2 linked regions of the Neodiprion lecontei genome follow. The protein of the gene in region 1 binds, or shares a complex with, the protein of each later gene. Links are inferred from orthologs where the notes say so. Each region holds a gene or a part of one and is shown on either strand. Other genes may lie near its edges.

Region 1 (7,436 bases):
CAAAAATTAAAATTTACGAAAATTATCAATTTCTTTCTTGCCTTTCGCAGCATAAAGAAAACATGATCACCAAAGTATTTCATCATACGAACACTTGCCGAAGATTCGGAAGGCACATCGCACCGCCGGACCATGGAACCTGCAGGGCATGATAGCCAGTCGTCTGTAGCGGTAGAAGGAACCTGCGGTGCAGTTTCCGGGGATAGATGATTGCTCAACATGTCACCTAGCCCTGAAACTAGATGTTCTACCGTAAACCGGTCGTATGTCCGGACACACTCGCCTGTTCTTGGGTCCAGAACAGCTAGATAAGGGTAATCAGTGACATTGTAGAAGTCGATGAAGCGTTGACCGTCAGATGTGTTAGATATGACCTGAGGATATGGCAAACGCTAGTTACACATGAGTAGAAAATTAAAGGCCGTTACTGGATCTACATATATATAATATTTCTTTTTCTCTGTTACCGATGGAAGGTCAAGTATGAGTTAAATTTCCTAATAATAAGTATGCGATCGATATAATTACCTGCCACAGAACGAAATGGTCCCTGACCATATCCCTGATCTGCTCATTGGGCCACAGGTCTCTGTTAAGTATTTGGCATGAGAATTCAAGTGGATTTTGTACATTAACAAGAAGCCATCGGTTTATGAGCTTCGCATGTTCCCTAGCCTCGATGAATGATCCCAAAAACATGATGTCGTAAGGGGGTCTGAAGAGGTCTTCCAGGCGCTTGGACTTCCTTGGTGACATTTTTTTCACCCCTGTTACCCTCCGCGCCATTTCCTCCTCCTGGCGTTCTGGCATCAGTTAATTCATTCAATTTAAACATCGCATATTAGCTTGAAACTCACTTGAATCCATGTAACTCAAAAGGAAACTCTAAAAATTGATGTTTCACGCCGATTCTCAGCATCAAGATGATATTTGCATCGCGTATTACAAACATATCTTGCATAAACTTTTTGGTAATTAAAAAGTACGATGAAATAAGGTAAGCCGACGCCGATTTATAAGGATAAAAAGCCGTCCCGGTTATCGAGAGCCTCTTGTTCCTTACGTGTTTCTACCGCAAAGTCCCTAAATCTATCAAACACACTGTTCGATGCTCTGGGGAACGCACAGACGGGCTGTGTTGGTACCAACACTTCTCGAGTAGGTAGAATTGGCGGCCTGATCTCTGGTTCTGGGGGTTCAGTTTGACCGTCTACGTCTGCTACTGCCTCTGCTCCGCCACCTTCAAACATCAGGCTAATAGCAGTCTCTACATTGCCGTCAGCCACCACGAGGTACTGTCTGGCGACAGCCTCGCTGGATCCTGGAATTTGGAAAAAATGTTCTCATGAAAGAGAGGGAAGAAAATAATTTGAAACCAAATTAGGTTAGGTTAACACAAAAAGGGCAGTATTGGATAAAGTTAGGTTAGATGAATGAATCAAAGTGAGGAAAACTTGGGAAACTCAAGATTAGGTCAGATGAGATCAAGGTCAGCTAGGGTGAATTGAAATAAAACCCATGGTAAATGTGTTATGCTGGTAAGGCTAGTAAAATGGGTAGAATATTACTGTAATACAATTCTTTGGAAATAAACATTTCAATGTGAAGTAAAACAGAGAAACGGACTCCTGCATTCTTTGTTTACCGATTCAACTGTTCGTACAGTCACATTGAAGCATTGAATTTGTGTTAACGGCAAAATATAGAACTGAGTATAATGAAATTGATATTTCAATTATTACTGTTCGCTTTTGGGCTAACCTGTGACTTCGATGAATTTTTCAATCAGTTCGCGATCCATCCTGTTACAACATCAAGCTCTAGTTTTGGATTCTATATCTGTTATTCGCCGATTGTTGTATGAGAAAACAAAATCGTCTTCGTGTTTGTTTGAAATTTCGGTGGTACAAGAACGCTTCCCTTGAATATTAAATCCGGTATCGTTTCACGGTCGCGGATCGATGCGATTTCGAATCCAGATTTTGAATTCTTGAACTTTTACCGAATTTTATAACAGCCACGGATCACTGCGGCTGTCAACCGGCATTAGCTATTTTGTCTTCAGCTTTCCTCTCCTCTCTCTATCTCCCGCTGCGCAACCGTTGCCACAATCGATCATGGACCATGAATATTCTCATAAGAAGGTAACTCTGTTGGGATTTTTTACACCGTTCATGAAATTAGATGAGACTTTTGACGAGAGTTGGACAATTCATTGAAAATATCTTGAAATAACGTTTTCATTTCAACTACCTTCACGCGAGTTTTTGATTAGATCTAACAGAATAGGCCAATAATAGTAAATTATTTACAACTTTATCAGAAATTAATGAATTCGAAGCATTCGAATCTTTTTCAAGCGCAGTATTCCGCCACGTTCTTTTTCCATCATCTTGTAATATAATTCTCTAATAAATTCCAGCTTTCGATCCCAAAGTATCAATAGTGCATATATAAGTTTAAAAAAATTTACCATACTTGTGTGTGAAGGCACATTTATTCAATGAATAAACCTTCTATATGTACATATGTATAAATACTATTATAATAATTAATATTTGTAATTTTATCCGTCAATAATATTCGATATTCTCATTATGAGCCGATTTTATCTGGCGAAGTGGAGAAGTTTTTAAATTCCTCTTCATTTATATCAAAATCAGTCATTTTGTCCTCCAGTAGCCACCACTTATCCATGAAACCAATGTCAACTATTCTGTGATGAAATCCTAAATACTGTGGTTTGAGATACGAACATGTTGCTTTGTAGTGAGCACATTCTTTATCGTAGTTATCCAACCATATAAAAGAAACAATCCCCAAGCTCAACCTGCGTATGATCCCTTCATTGAAGCACTGTTCTATCGATTTCAAATGCCTTACACTTTGACGATTCCGAATTGGTTCTCCAACCATCATCATCTTGTTTGATTCTTCTATCAACATGTTTCTGTACGAATCTGGACTAGGGTTGTGTCGTGAAAAGTAGTATACACTGCCTAGAACTGAAACATAAACCAATTCACACGAAAATTTCATACCGAATACAGAACATTTACTGGCTCCTCTGACTCTAAATAAATATATTTTTCTTTTGTATTTTTGGTTTGATTCACTGCAATAATTAGTGTTATCTGCACTAATGATGAGCAGCTATAGTGGGCTTAAACATGTATTTTTATGAGCTGCGAATCCTTTACAAAGAAGTATAGTGATACATCTAAGATCATAAAGATAAAGAAAAAAAAACTAAGTTGTCTCTCATTCCAGCAGGTTTCACTGCGGGAAATTAAGAAATATGATTTTTCACTTACGAGAGAAATAGATTGAAGCACGAATAGGCCGATCCTTACATCCTTGTGCAACATCCTTAGCCACATCTCTGTAGTCAATGAAGAGATTCTTCCAATATTTTGCTACAATGAAAATAAAACAGGTGACAATTATCGAATGATTATCGAACAAGTTCGCATACTCTAAGCTAACACCCGATCTCCCTATATTCTGTGAATTGCTTCGTCAAATTTATATAAATATAATATAACCTGTAAATACCTAACCTAACTTAACCTCGAACAAAAATTAACATGACCTGTTCTTACCCCAACGATCTAGTAGCCGTTCCTTCACTTGCTCCGTCACTTCAGGATCCTTAGCTTTGCTTATCTCAGCTGAATTTGTACTATAGGTTTTAAAAAATTGTTTAAATCTATTACGGAATAAATGGGATATCCGAACCGCCATAGTTAGTTTACTGATCAACGAAGCGTGCGGCGATTGAATTTCGCTCACTGAAAAGTCACTCTCATTTAAATTCCATAATAAGAATAAGTTCTTAGTTAATGACAAAGCACGTGACGTTGAAAAATTCCTATTAATTAATAAATTGAGCCGAGGCGCGAAAGCATCGCGCTTGAGTAAAGTTGGAAAAATACGGCTACTAGCTTTCTTATCGTGAATTAAATAAGTCGTCTGCTCTGGTTTGGTAAGCGCGGGGACTTCCCATAAAGCATTGCGGAACGCGGATTAACTTTAAACATTTTGAACAAGGACGATAGTCGATCTATTTATTTGTTTCATTTTCTTCATTTATTTTCGAGCCCACGTTCAATTTTAACTTCACTCTTGAATACATGGGATTTTGACACTTACGGTTAAACAATAAATTGTCATCATATCATAATTCATTGCAAATTATTGCTCAACTTTAAATTGTCATATCAATTTCAATCTCGACTTAATTTTACGTGTTAATAACAAAGGATTATTTTCATCAATCATGTTTCTCTGACTAACTGCAATTCAATCAACATAATTTTCAAAATGGAGAGAATTAATGGAAAAGGTAATTTATAACTTTAGATTTTCTAACTAAAGCACCTGCGACACATTATCCTAGTCTTCTATGTCACAGCGTTTATCCCTATTTTATTTCTAAAATCTTCTCAACGATTTTTCTTTTCCTCAATTCCTCAATTAACGAAGCCTAGGAATGTTTCGACCCTTCCAATATTTGAAGAAAATTCAACATGAATAACATGTGCAAGTAATCAACTTTGAATCGTACAGCTCGAACAATTTTATGCATAGCTTAGTAGAGTAGACATTGACTCATTTTTTTTATTTTCAGACATGGTGCGCAGCAGATACGCAAAACTTCAGCCTATCACAGATAGAATCAATGGACTTCAAGATCCTTTTTACCATTGTAACGGACATGAAAATGAATTTTCTCGCAGCAATCTCAGCGTTAACTCTTACACTCTTCAGCTTCGATGTGATTTTCAGAACTTGCTACAGGAAAAAAGCAGGGTAAAAATGGAAGTAGAACTTACCTGCAAAACTAAGTGAAAGTATTGAATTTCCGACCACGAAATTCCTTTGTGCATCTAATTCTGTCTGTTTTTCATACACGGGTGTGTTTATGTTTTTTTGTTGTAGGTATCTAGGATGACTGAAAAATCTATGAGAGAAGAATTTTTTCAGACAAAAATGCCGGCAGCTCTTTTGAAACAGCGCGTTTCCTCTTTGGAAATAAGTCCAACTGGTAATTACACATAAAGACCAATTAATACACCTCTGGTTTTAAGATTAATCTCTGGTAAACATCAAGTATAGTAATTCCAAGTGATGATTATCTTTTCTTGTTTCAGAATTGCTTAAAAAACAGAAGAACCGCAAGCATCGAAATAAGGAGAAACCGTTTTTCTCATTACTTCTCAGTACGTAGAGACAACTATCATAACTTGTTAATTTCTTAGGTTCTTTCATTTCAACAAGTAGTGAAAATAAAAAAAAAAGTTAGGAAAATCCTTCAAAAAGTATAATGCTCTACAGCTTTTCGCTTTTCGGAAATATAGTTTGTCTTTTTCAGATCTCAAAGTAGAGCTATTGGACATCCTAAATTGCATTTTCTACGTACTGTGGTGTCCAATATACTACTTTGGAAAATTAATTCTGACAATTATAAGATCGGTTGCTTGCTTGCTGTGGAGTGTGTTGACGTTGTCGATATTCCGAGGTACAAGTGTGCCATACGATTCAAAAGAGCTGAAATTGGTGGTAAAGGAGCCAGAGCTCTTAGTGTTACCAGATATTACGGGTGATTCAAAACACCTCTCGACAGATGTGAAAAAATTACTGCCTCAACGAAGCAGTGATTTTCATTCCATCAGTAGCTCCGTTCCGCAGGGACTAAGAACCAGTGACGAAATCAGTCCGACAGAGATAGCGGATCATAAAAGCCTTAAGGATCTCTTATCTCCACAAAAGAAAGTCAATCTCTCTTTGAAAATGATTGATAAAATGAGAGTGGGGGACCAAATAAAAGGCAGTGGGTTCCAATTACAAAATGAAAATTATTATCCGTATTCTTCACACCACGAAAATGTAAGCAATGTTGGATTGAGCAGTGATTATTTGCCAGATAAATGTTCAGGCAAATTTTGTAACATTCAGGAATGTAGAAAGACGGGTGTCAAACAATACGAAGAACCATTGACTAGTTCAAAAGATGCCACTTCCAAGGGAGGCGAAAATGTTGTCGAATATAAACGACGGACACATTCCAAAAATTCACATCTCAGAAGTGAGTTTAGATTGTCTAAGAATCCTCAAATCAAGTTATCTCATGTTAAGAAATTTGAAAAAGAAAAACCAAACGAAGTTGAACCCCATAATTCAAAGTTTCGACTTGCTGATTACAATTCTTTGGATACAGTGAACACAGGTAAAGAGAGCTTAACGATATTGCTGACGAACTTGATAAGCAAAAAAGGTAAAAAGTCGAGGCTGCATTCCGTTCCTGTTCCATCTATTAGTTATATGTTGGAACAAAGACCTACAACTGAAAATAGAGAAGAATGTGAAGAAAGGGTAAAAAACAATCTGCTTGGATCTGAAATTCTACGTAGTAATGTGCAACAAGTCTCAGAGTTCAAGGGACAAGAAAGTAATGGATCAAAATCCTGCCTCGATGACAAAGGAGATCGGTCACAGACAAACGCTGCGGTAGTTCCTCCGCAAGTGTGTCAGGATAGAAAATTGACTACCCAGTCGGAGCATTCATGCATTGTGACGCACACAGATGATTTGGAGAATCGTAAATATGCAACGACAGTTTCAGATCATATAACGGAGATAAATGAGTTGGAGAAACAGAAAAGTAAGATACAATCTTTGACTCTGGAAAGTTCAGACAAGAGAATGTTGCAGTCTAAAGACATTATCGAAGGCCTTGAGAGGCTAACAGATCCAGTGGAATCATCAGGTCTCCTTATTGAACGAAAGGACTCGTTAAGAATTGCAAAGTATACCCAGCCAGTTGATGCAAAATCCAAATGGTTAGAAATAAAGAAAAAATTTTATGGAATAGATTACAACAGGACTGCGAAGCAGGAAGAGCCAAAGAAATTAGAATCCAAGAGTCTTGCACAAATAACATCGGTATCAAAACTCCCAGCACACAAGATATTTCAGTACAATATGCAAGTCGGAAGAGCAAGACAAATGGGCGCAGAGTCGTCTTCAACTGAGGGAATACTTTTGGAGAAAAATCTCACTTCGATCGGCATTGAGGGGGCAGTAGTTCCTGATCGGCTCGGAAGTAATGCATCACGGTGTCTGCAGCCAGTGGTTCAAACGCCTTGCCGATTATCTCACACTCAGTCGTTATCCCAGTGGCCATTAGGTTTCGATAATTCTCCTCTATTGAGGAAATATTTGCCAGAGCAAAAACCGAAACCAAAACCGAGAACTGAAGCAGGACTTATTCGTGGTCGTGTTACTGGTACGAATTGCAAAATATCGACTGCGACATCGACATGTATCAATTCTTCTGTTTCCACCTCCGATGTCACAGTATTGAGCCAGAAATACATGGGGAACCATAGATATGGCCTGAAAAGGGAAACAGATCGAAAAAAGGATAATCCACA
Region 2 (9,730 bases), on another chromosome or scaffold:
CTCTTTTTCATCTTATGTATCGTATGTTTGATAACATAATAATCAAAGATTTCGTGCATTATTTGATTTCAGTCACGGGGCCATCAAAGGTCGCCGTCAGATACTCGTGATTTCAAGGAAAGAACGAAAAGAGATGCCTTGATTCAGCTTCAGCATGAAGTTGATAGACTTCTGGCAACAGCCCCTCCAAGTGAACAAGATCGATTGAGTCGCGAATTCAAAGGCTTCACTCGCCTGTTCGATAGATTCCTTCAGGAAGAAGGACCTTCTCTAGAATGGAATCGCATACAGAAATTACCAGAAGCTGCTGTAAGTTTCAAATTAATACTTCTGTCGCCTGATTTTTCATCCTTGACTCTTTAATTTTTCTGTAAAGGTACGCGACTACACAACACTTCCAACCCCAGCAGAGGAGGTCATCAAAAGTATGCTAGAGAAGTTGGTAGTCGTAAAACTGAACGGTGGTCTTGGAACAAGTATGGGTTGCCATGGTCCTAAGTCTGTCATTGCTGTTCGAAATGATTTAACCTTCCTCGATCTCACTGTACAGCAAATTGAGGTGAGTTATGAGTGAGAGATGTCTGCAGGCTGGTTTAAATCCCCCGTTTCCACAGATCCATTTATGTATGTTAAGTTGTTACAAACGTCATATGTTTTGAAGTATATATTTGCTCAAAAGCCATGTCGAATTGGTATCCAATAATCTTGGTTCTGGTTGATAGTAAGTTGCACAAGTTGTAATGGAACAAACTTTTTCCAGGATCTGAACAAAACCTACAATGCTAATGTCCCTCTCATACTGATGAATTCGTTTAACACAGACGAGGATACACAGAAAATAATCAGAAAGTATAAGGGCTTAAACGTTGATATTTACACCTTCAACCAAAGCTGCTATCCACGCATTAATCGAGATTCACTGCTACCTATTGGAAAGAACTGCAATATCGATCAAGACATTGAATCGTAAGTTTTTCATTTGATATGCAAATAATTCACACCCGCAGACATCAAATTTGTACCGGCGGTTTGATTGTTATTGAATTTTAATTCGAGGTAACATATTCATTTGGCACGTGTCTATAAAGCCAATGAAGTATATCCTGTTAGGTGTAGAAATTCTCAGTTTCAAAGGTCAGTAAGTCAAAAACACATTTTTCACAGTTAGGCTTTGAGAGCGGGGCCCTCCTCAGAAAGACTAAAATATTTATTCAACACATTATCATAATACTTATATATAAACATTCAACCACAATTTATAAAAAATATTATAATAATGCGTTGAAGAAATATTTTAGCTTTTCTGAGGAGGGTCCCCTTCAGAGCCGAAATGTGAAAAATGTTTTTTTGACTTACTGACCTTTGATACCGAGAATCTCTGCACAGCAATTCACGATAAGGTCGAGAAATCAATAAACATTATATTCTGTTAATCTGCTGTAGGGCTCTGCAATAATTTCCATTTGATTTACATGTTTGCTGATCACTTACTTCAATTTGCAATTTATAGATGGTATCCACCTGGTCACGGTGATTTCTATGAAAGTTTCCAAAACTCTGGACTGCTAAATAAGTTCATTCAACAGGTAATGTAATATTGTTACAATGATAATTCGTATGATATTTATTTTATGCTCAAAACTTTTGAATTCCACATGTCGCAGTATATGTAATAGTTCCATCTCTATTTTAGGGTCGCAAATATTGTTTCATTTCTAACATCGATAACTTGGGTGCCACTGTAGATCTCAATATTTTAAATCTGCTGCTTAATTCCAAAGATGTAATTTCACCAGAATTCGTGATGGAGGTCACCAATAAAACTAGAGCTGACGTTAAGGTAATGTCTACGGAATGATTAAAAAACATCGTGAAAAAAGGTTGATACTTCCACAAACCTTACTTATATTTTGCGGTCTAAATGAAGTCAAAATGTATCGAATGATAACTTCAATATGTGTTATTTATTTAGGGTGGTACCTTAATCCAATACGAGGACAAGCTACGACTGCTTGAAATAGCTCAAGTACCAAAAGAGCATGTTGATGATTTTAAATCTGTGAAGACTTTCAAATTTTTCAATACCAACAACTTATGGGTCAGCCTCACTGGTAAGCACGGAACACGCTATTCAGAATTTATGAAATTGTTCATTAGCTAGTTTCAATTGCGAACATTATTTCTTGCAGCTATTGAGAGAGTCTTAGAAGAAAAAACACTCAACATGGAAATTATTGTGAATAACAAAAGCTTGAGTAATGGTTTGAACGTTATTCAACTAGAAACAGCTGTAGGTGCAGCTATGAAATCCTTTGATGGAGGTCTTGGTGAGTTCACCCAATACTTGCAGTCAAATAAAATTATGCTAAACTATTTCTTAACTGTACATTAACTCTGTAATAAATACTCTATCCAAGCAAAAAATGCCAACCATTTGAAAGTTTCAAACAAATTCCTTAACTGTTTCGAAAAATCTTTATAGAAATTTAGACTACTTTCATATAATGCTAATTTTTTAATTTTTTTTTTTCTCTGATCTATAGGCATCAACGTACCACGTAGCAGATTCTTACCTGTGAAAAAGACCTCTGATCTCATGTTGGTGATGAGTAACTTATACAGTTTACGCAAAGGAGCTCTCCTCATGAGTCCCCAGCGGATGTTTCCAACTACTCCACTCATCAAACTTGGCGATAATCACTTTTCAAAGGTGCTATTATTATCTCATAAGATAGCTGTCTATGTGAGCTATATTTTAAATTTAACAGTTCTCTAAAAGTGAGGAACAAATTACAAGTCTATTAAAACCAGGAATCAATACGTAATTGATTCACAAATACCAACGTTTATGACGTTTGTGCCCAGATTATTGTTAGCTAATTAGAATAATACTTGAAGCATTGAAATACCATAATCGACGCAAGGTTGTGATGCTCGCGGAAAATTGTATTTTTTTCATTTGTTCCGCACGTGTTGCAAGCTTTGTTACTTTAGGAATTCTATAAGAGATAAACCAATAATCCTGATTACACTTCACGTATTCTAATTATTATTAATTTTTTCAGGTAAAAGAGTATCTACGTAGGTTTGCCTCAATCCCAGATCTCTTAGAACTGGATCATCTAACTGTATCCGGCGATGTTACATTTGGAAAAGGAGTTTCTCTCAAAGGCACAGTTATTATTATAGCAAATCATGGAGACCGTATCGACATACCTTCGGGAACTATTTTAGAAAATAAAATTGTATCCGGAAATCTACGTATTTTGGATCATTAGTTTATGGTATATCAAGTTTGTTCATCACATGCACAAAGTCTTGTGTGTGGGTGTATATATATATATACATATACACTAGGCCTAAGATTAGCAAAAAAATGTGTACAAAATGTGTAATGATAATTAATTATACCCTCGCTGAATAAGTTTTAGTGGTCTAATTTTATTCGTTACTTATTGTTGCAATTTGTAAGTTTAGCTTTATCTTATTATATGTATATGTATAGTATTTATGTACATATACAAAATTTAAGAATGAAAATATTAACTCAGAGATCATCGGAAGCACTAATTCTGAACACTTGAATGGACATTAAAAATACCACATACAGGCAAGATATTACTTATAATGAAAAAACAAAATCGGAATAATATTTACTGTAAATTCCTTGTATTCCAATTTCTTACGTGCTTTGGAACATACAAATGTTATTTCAACGAAAAATTGCCGTCATGAATATCCAGGTGCAAACTTCAGGGCCCAAGTCGTTCCGATTCACTGGATGTTTCATCGGGTTGTTAGCATGAACACTTAGCATGTGTATGTTTGTAACTGCAGTGGCGTATTCATCTAGAAATATGTTCTTCGTGAGTAATAGACAGAAATTTCTAGTATTTTTAATATTTGTTTGTTGTACATACATACATACGTAAAATTCAACTTCGCTCTATTTCTCTGCTATCCGTATATTGGCTTATAAACTCCCCCGATTTTGATTCCTTTTTTCTGTGGATAACTACAACGTCTGACCAGGTTTTAAGACATATTTTGTTACAACCAGATCGATCGTTTTGAAGATATAACAATATTTGTAAGCTAAGTCTGAACGGGATCATACACTTGTGAAAGCTCTGATTAAACTCTTATATGGAGGAAAGTTAGGCTCAAGAGTTTTCAAAAATCTCTATGAGCTTCACAATGGTTATGTCTTATAATCTCGCCACAAAAAGCATTTAAAAATATTAGCGGGCGGAGCCGTAACGGGAAGAGGGATATTATTTAAAAATTGTGCACACATATAGCGCGTTCAAATTTCCCATGCAACAGACGAAACCAGCGCTGCGCGGCGTTATCGGTACTACGAATTTCCAACCAAATGTGTCTCACGTTTGCCGTCGAAAAGAGTACGGAGTTATGTCTCCTTTCCTTTTCCTACTTGTTGAAAATGCTCACGCAGAAAATCAGGACAGTGAGTTATGTATGTAGGTTATGTTGCATGACGAGAATTCCGTTCATGAATTTAAATCTCAAGACTCATTATTATTTGTAATTCATAATTTAGTAGTGGAGGCCGTGATAAATTTATTCACCAAAACATGGATTTAAGGGAGATAAGAAATGTTTGTATTTTCTGTTATAATTTGTCATCAATTGAATGCTGCTTCTATTTACTTCATAAGCAATTCTTATCGCGCTCTACCATAACACAGAATTGACATTATTTGAATAATTTTTATTGCAGTTCAAGGATTTCCTTACGCTCTACAATCAAATATCTGACACATGCTTCAAACGATGTACAAATACATACAATTCCAGAGACATGGATGTGGATGAGGTGAGATGATCGATCGGTGAATGTTTTCTGAATTTTGGATAAGATTCAGATTTCAGTTCTTTTTACACCATATAAAAATACTTGCAGCTTTCCAATATTATGTATATTCATTACACATACATATCTTTGCAGCATGTATTGAGAATAACTATTTATTTGTAATGCCATAGGAAGCTTGTGTAAATAACTGTGCCCAGAAGCATGTAAAAGCGAATACCAAAATGATGAAAGTCTATATGGAGGTACTACCTGTTTTAATGAATAAAAGGACAGAAGAAATGAATGCTGCTCAAGCTGCAGCTATGGCACAGCAGCAACAACTGCAGCAAGACACCCAAGACACAGAAACTAGTCAAAATTTACGACAAAGTCAGCCACTGGTCTGACCCACAATTTAGCCTTTCGTTTTATGTTATTTAATATTTTATATTACATTATTTTATAATATGATATATTTATTTTACTTTATGCTGTTCACCTTTTCAATATTGTCAGGGTGTGTTATGTTGCTCAGCTGTTCCTTGTTTGGCAATAGGGTCAAAATAAGATTGCTTTGAGCCTCTTTGTCATACTGATTGTTGGTACAGGTCTTTTATGATTCAAGGATTCCTTAAGGACCAGCATTTTTCAATTCATGGCTCTCCTTATTATGCGCTTCGTAATGGCAGTCATTTGAAACAGATATCCTCTCAGGAACGTCTTTCTTACAGCAAGCTGGTAGCAGCAAGATTGTTTTGCAAGCAATATGTAATACGTCTTCCTCCTGTTGTATGCAGCGGTTGGGAGTGTAATCATAGTTAACTACTCTGTAAATATTTTCAACGTATAAAAACTGAATTTGTTCATTCAACCTTTGCATTGTGTAATTGTATGTACATATTTTTCTTACCATATTCTCTGGTTCTTTGCATTTCAGATTTTGAGAATGAGTGAATGGCAAAAGTACAAGTATTCAGTTTATTAGATTTTCTACATAAGTTGTGATATATCATCTTGCTAAGATTGGAAATCAAAATGTAAACAAAGCAAAGACCAGTTTCGTCTTAATTAATACATATTTGCAAGGAACATTGAATATTATAACATTACTTTTCAAGTGATTCTAGGTAAGTAATTAGTTGAAATTTTTCAGTCTGACCATCCTACTGTTAAAAAATAATAAGCCAATTAGTTTAAATAATAATACAGGGCCGTACATATTACATAAGCATTGATTTATTATTGAAAATGTGTGTATATACAGAATACGGTATGTATGTATATGTATATATACGAATAATATTATTACAGTTTTGTTATAATATCAGAACACGACTACAATATATTGCCTCAATACACTGTTTTAAAGTTTAACGGTTCTCTGTCGTCAATTTGCTAAAAATTATAGCATGAACCAAGCAAAATGATATTGTTGCATTTGAAAGTAATAGTGTTTTAAAATTTTAAAATGCTCACACAAGCTTGTAGTAAATATCATTTTGATTGTTCAATTCAAACGTCAAAATATCTCTAAGATCTGACGTAATAACATACTGCTTTCTGAAACTACTACTTTCCCCCATTTTTTTTTTTTTTTTTTCGACATTGTCACAGATTCACATCTAAAGCTGTCACAAATACTGGTGTGGAACACTAACAGTTTTAAAACCCATGTGACAGCAGACGTGGTTACACAAATTACTATATGTGCAATGGTCTACATAATGTACCTGTGATGTGTATGAGATCAGCGACATTTCAGTCTGTACATCAAGTAATCGTAATTAGGAATGCAACTTTACATTTTTTCTTAGCAAAGCAAATTCAATTGAAATCGCGTAAATTACAGATAGGAATCTATTGCATGTAACAAAAGGGGACCGATTAAAAAACCAGGTATATCGAGTGCTTCAATGATTTAGAAACATTATTCTTTTGACGTACTTGTAATTTCCATCACTCAAGCATTTATTTCTCGTATTTCATGAATAATTGCGTTGCCATGTTAAAGGAATGAATTTAATGTGTATGGCATTGATATACAAATTGGTTTCACGATATTAGAATCACTTCTTTACCTGCCAAAATGTGAATGAATAAATTAACTTCACATGCCTATGAAAATAATAAATAATTATTATTTGCCTGCAAATCTATAAGTACTCGAAATTACTTAAAATATTTTTTATAAGCTCGCCCATTTGCATTCACATACCTGTAATGCAGTGTTAAAATTAAACTTAATAAGCGTTTGATTTTTTATATAAATATCCTATACAGCACTCCTACTGGTAATGGAAAGTATATAAATAAAAATTAACAATCATTAAAAATATAAAAAATCACAGGAGTTAGCAGACTAATTTTTGACAACACATACTCATCAGCAATATTAGCATTTTTACCCAAAATATATGAGTATATTTTGTATTTGTATTGTCTACTTATATTGTCAAGTGACAAGTTATTCAAATACACTTATGTATATATAACAGGCCTAATCACAAGTTTCGTACTCCAGTAAACAATATTGTGTACTTTTTTAATAGATTTTGTTCTCTTTTTCTGATTATAAGTAAATATAAACGATTTTTTTCTAAACGAAATTTCAGTTCTGATTATGTACAAATACAGACGTATTTGCATTCTTGTCTACAAAGTTGATATCCGCAATTTTATCGTGTCAACCATTGCCATATGAGTGCTGTAGTATATTTTTATTCATTAAATAGTAAAGCTGGGTGAAAAATTAAAGCAGGATAATCAACGTTGCAAAACTTCTGTACTCAAATTCATTTTTCCCATCTATATTACTCTTGTATAAGTATGTCATTGTCTCAGCCGAATTTTATTTTCTATTTTTCAGTAAATATCCTAATATTTAATGACTAGGCCCTATTTTAACATGTACTTTCGAATCTACCAACGATTCTATCTAATCTTATCGACGTAAGTTTCTCAATTTTTTTTTTTCGTAAATAAAATGTACCACATTCAACTACTTAACTAATTAAAGGTGAATACCGTGTGGAATACATATGAAGCTCTCGGGTCTTCATTTAATAGTCCGGTCAATTTAGACATTTCGAATCACAATAATTCCGACAGAGCTGAACTTTGGTAGAGACCTTGGGTTTACCATTATAAAGAAAGATAAAAAATTCCCCATCGATACCATGTGTGCTAAAAAAGTTATTCAAGGTCAAAGGTCAAAATTTTTGGTTTTTTCGATTTTTCTCGTTAACGGTTAATTTTATCAAAAAAATAGCTTAAACCAAAATTGTAGATCATAAAATTATCCACAAAAATGGTCTCTATACTTTTTTTTCCTAAGAATCATCATTTCTGAGATATCGCGATTCTGAAAGTCGAACGAGTTACATTCTATATAATATGCACGCATATTATATATGTCACGGATATACATAGTATATGTATAGTATATACAGTGTATATATAGTATATATTATAATATATATGTATAGTATATACACTGATATAGTTAGAATATATACAGTATATATTAGACTGCCTAAGAAAGAAAAAACAATTTTTTTTTTCGATCTCCGGCTTCATGAAATCGTAGTTTATAACATAATATTGAACCTCGTGAAAGGAAATCGCCGTGCGATTTTTTTAAGAGGTGCGACATCGAGATTTTGTAATTCCCATTTGATTAATACGTAAGAAATTCAATTCTGACGGTTGGAGGGAGATAATAATTTTTCTATGCAATGAACAGAACTCTATATAGTAGTGCTTGACAGTTTATATGTTTTCTTCGAATGTATTTGACGGATATTATTCAACATTGTAATGTGATCCAGTTGAGGAAGCTGGGAGTTTATCCTAGGTACCCATTTTTCGAAAAGGCGAAAAACCACGTTTTACGCAATGTTGAATCACTCGAAGATCGTGCGATCAAAAAATTTCTCCGACACGGCAATTCGAAGAAAACATATAAACTGTCGAGCGCTACTATATAGCGTTCCGTTCGTTGCATAGAAAAATTATTATCTCTCTCCAACCGTCAGAATTGGATTTCTTACGTATTAATCAAATGGGAATTACAAAATCTCGATGTCGCACCTCTTAAAAAAATGGCACGGCGATTTCCTTTCACGAGGTTCAACATTATGTTATAAACTATGATTTCATGAAGCTGGAGATCGAAAAAAAAAATAGTTTTTGTTTTTTGAGGCAGTCTAATATATACTGTATATATACTAAGTATATCAGTATATATACTATATATATATATATATTATAATATATACTATATATACACTATGTATATACACTGTATATACTATACATATACTGTGTATATCCGTGACATATATAATATGCGTGCATATTATATAGAATGTAACTCGTTCGACTTTCAGAATCGCGATATCTCAGAAATGATGATTCTTAGGAAAAAAAGTATAGAGACCATTTTTGTGGATAATTTTATGATCTACAATTTTGGTTTAAGCTATTTTTTTGATAAAATTAACCGTTAACGAGAAAAATCGAAAAAACCAAAAATTTTGACCTTTGACCTTGAATAACTTTTTTAGCCACATGGTATCGATGGGGACTTTTTTGTTTTTCTTTATAATGGTAAACCCAAGGTCTCTACCAAAGTTCAGCTTTGTCGGAATTATTGTGGTTCGATCACTATTTTTATGTCTAAATTGACCGGACTATAAGTAAATGGTCTGATTATTTTATCACTCATGATCGCAACAGATTAGAAGAAAATGGCCAGGCAAGATCTAAAAAAAATTCAGTAATATAATATCATTACTAATGCATCCAAAATAATATAATCAATGTTTCATGCGCTATTTTTTTTATCACAATAGAAATGTAGAGCAAGAACAAATACACCAAGTTGCAACAGACACAAAATAAAAAAGATTACAG

What was found.
Region 2: mitochondrial import inner membrane translocase subunit Tim29 (region 1) and mitochondrial import inner membrane translocase subunit Tim10 B share a complex: the UniProt entries of both Homo sapiens proteins name them as parts of the TIM22 complex. The link is inferred for Neodiprion lecontei from reciprocal best matches to the Homo sapiens genes TIMM29 and TIMM10B.

What each region holds. Positions count from the first base shown.
Region 1 is NC_060264.1:30,475,289-30,482,724, reverse strand, and holds mitochondrial import inner membrane translocase subunit Tim29, read right to left. Parts: upstream 3,938-7,436; 5' UTR 3,745-3,937; coding exon 3,603-3,744; intron 3,417-3,602; coding exon 3,315-3,416; intron 3,006-3,314; coding exon 2,596-3,005; 3' UTR 2,479-2,595; downstream 1-2,478. Other genes in the region: UBX domain-containing protein 7, read right to left, coding at 93-374, 529-803, 1,064-1,321, 1,762-1,801; uncharacterized protein LOC124294430, read left to right, coding at 4,324-4,345, 4,631-4,812, 4,942-5,047, 5,154-5,222, 5,375-7,436. UniProt on the Homo sapiens protein: Component of the TIM22 complex, a complex that mediates the import and insertion of multi-pass transmembrane proteins into the mitochondrial inner membrane.
Region 2 is NC_060263.1:26,784,664-26,794,393, forward strand, and holds mitochondrial import inner membrane translocase subunit Tim10 B, read left to right. Parts: upstream 1-4,076; 5' UTR 4,077-4,375; coding exon 4,376-4,477; exon of another isoform or gene 4,478-4,595; coding exon of another isoform or gene 4,596-4,619; intron 4,620-4,741; coding exon 4,742-4,837; intron 4,838-5,007; coding exon 5,008-5,223; 3' UTR 5,224-7,993; downstream 7,994-9,730. Other genes in the region: UTP--glucose-1-phosphate uridylyltransferase, read left to right, coding at 73-309, 377-559, 761-966, 1,511-1,586, 1,694-1,840, 1,973-2,111, 2,190-2,327, 2,544-2,710 and 1 more. UniProt on the Homo sapiens protein: Component of the TIM22 complex, a complex that mediates the import and insertion of multi-pass transmembrane proteins into the mitochondrial inner membrane.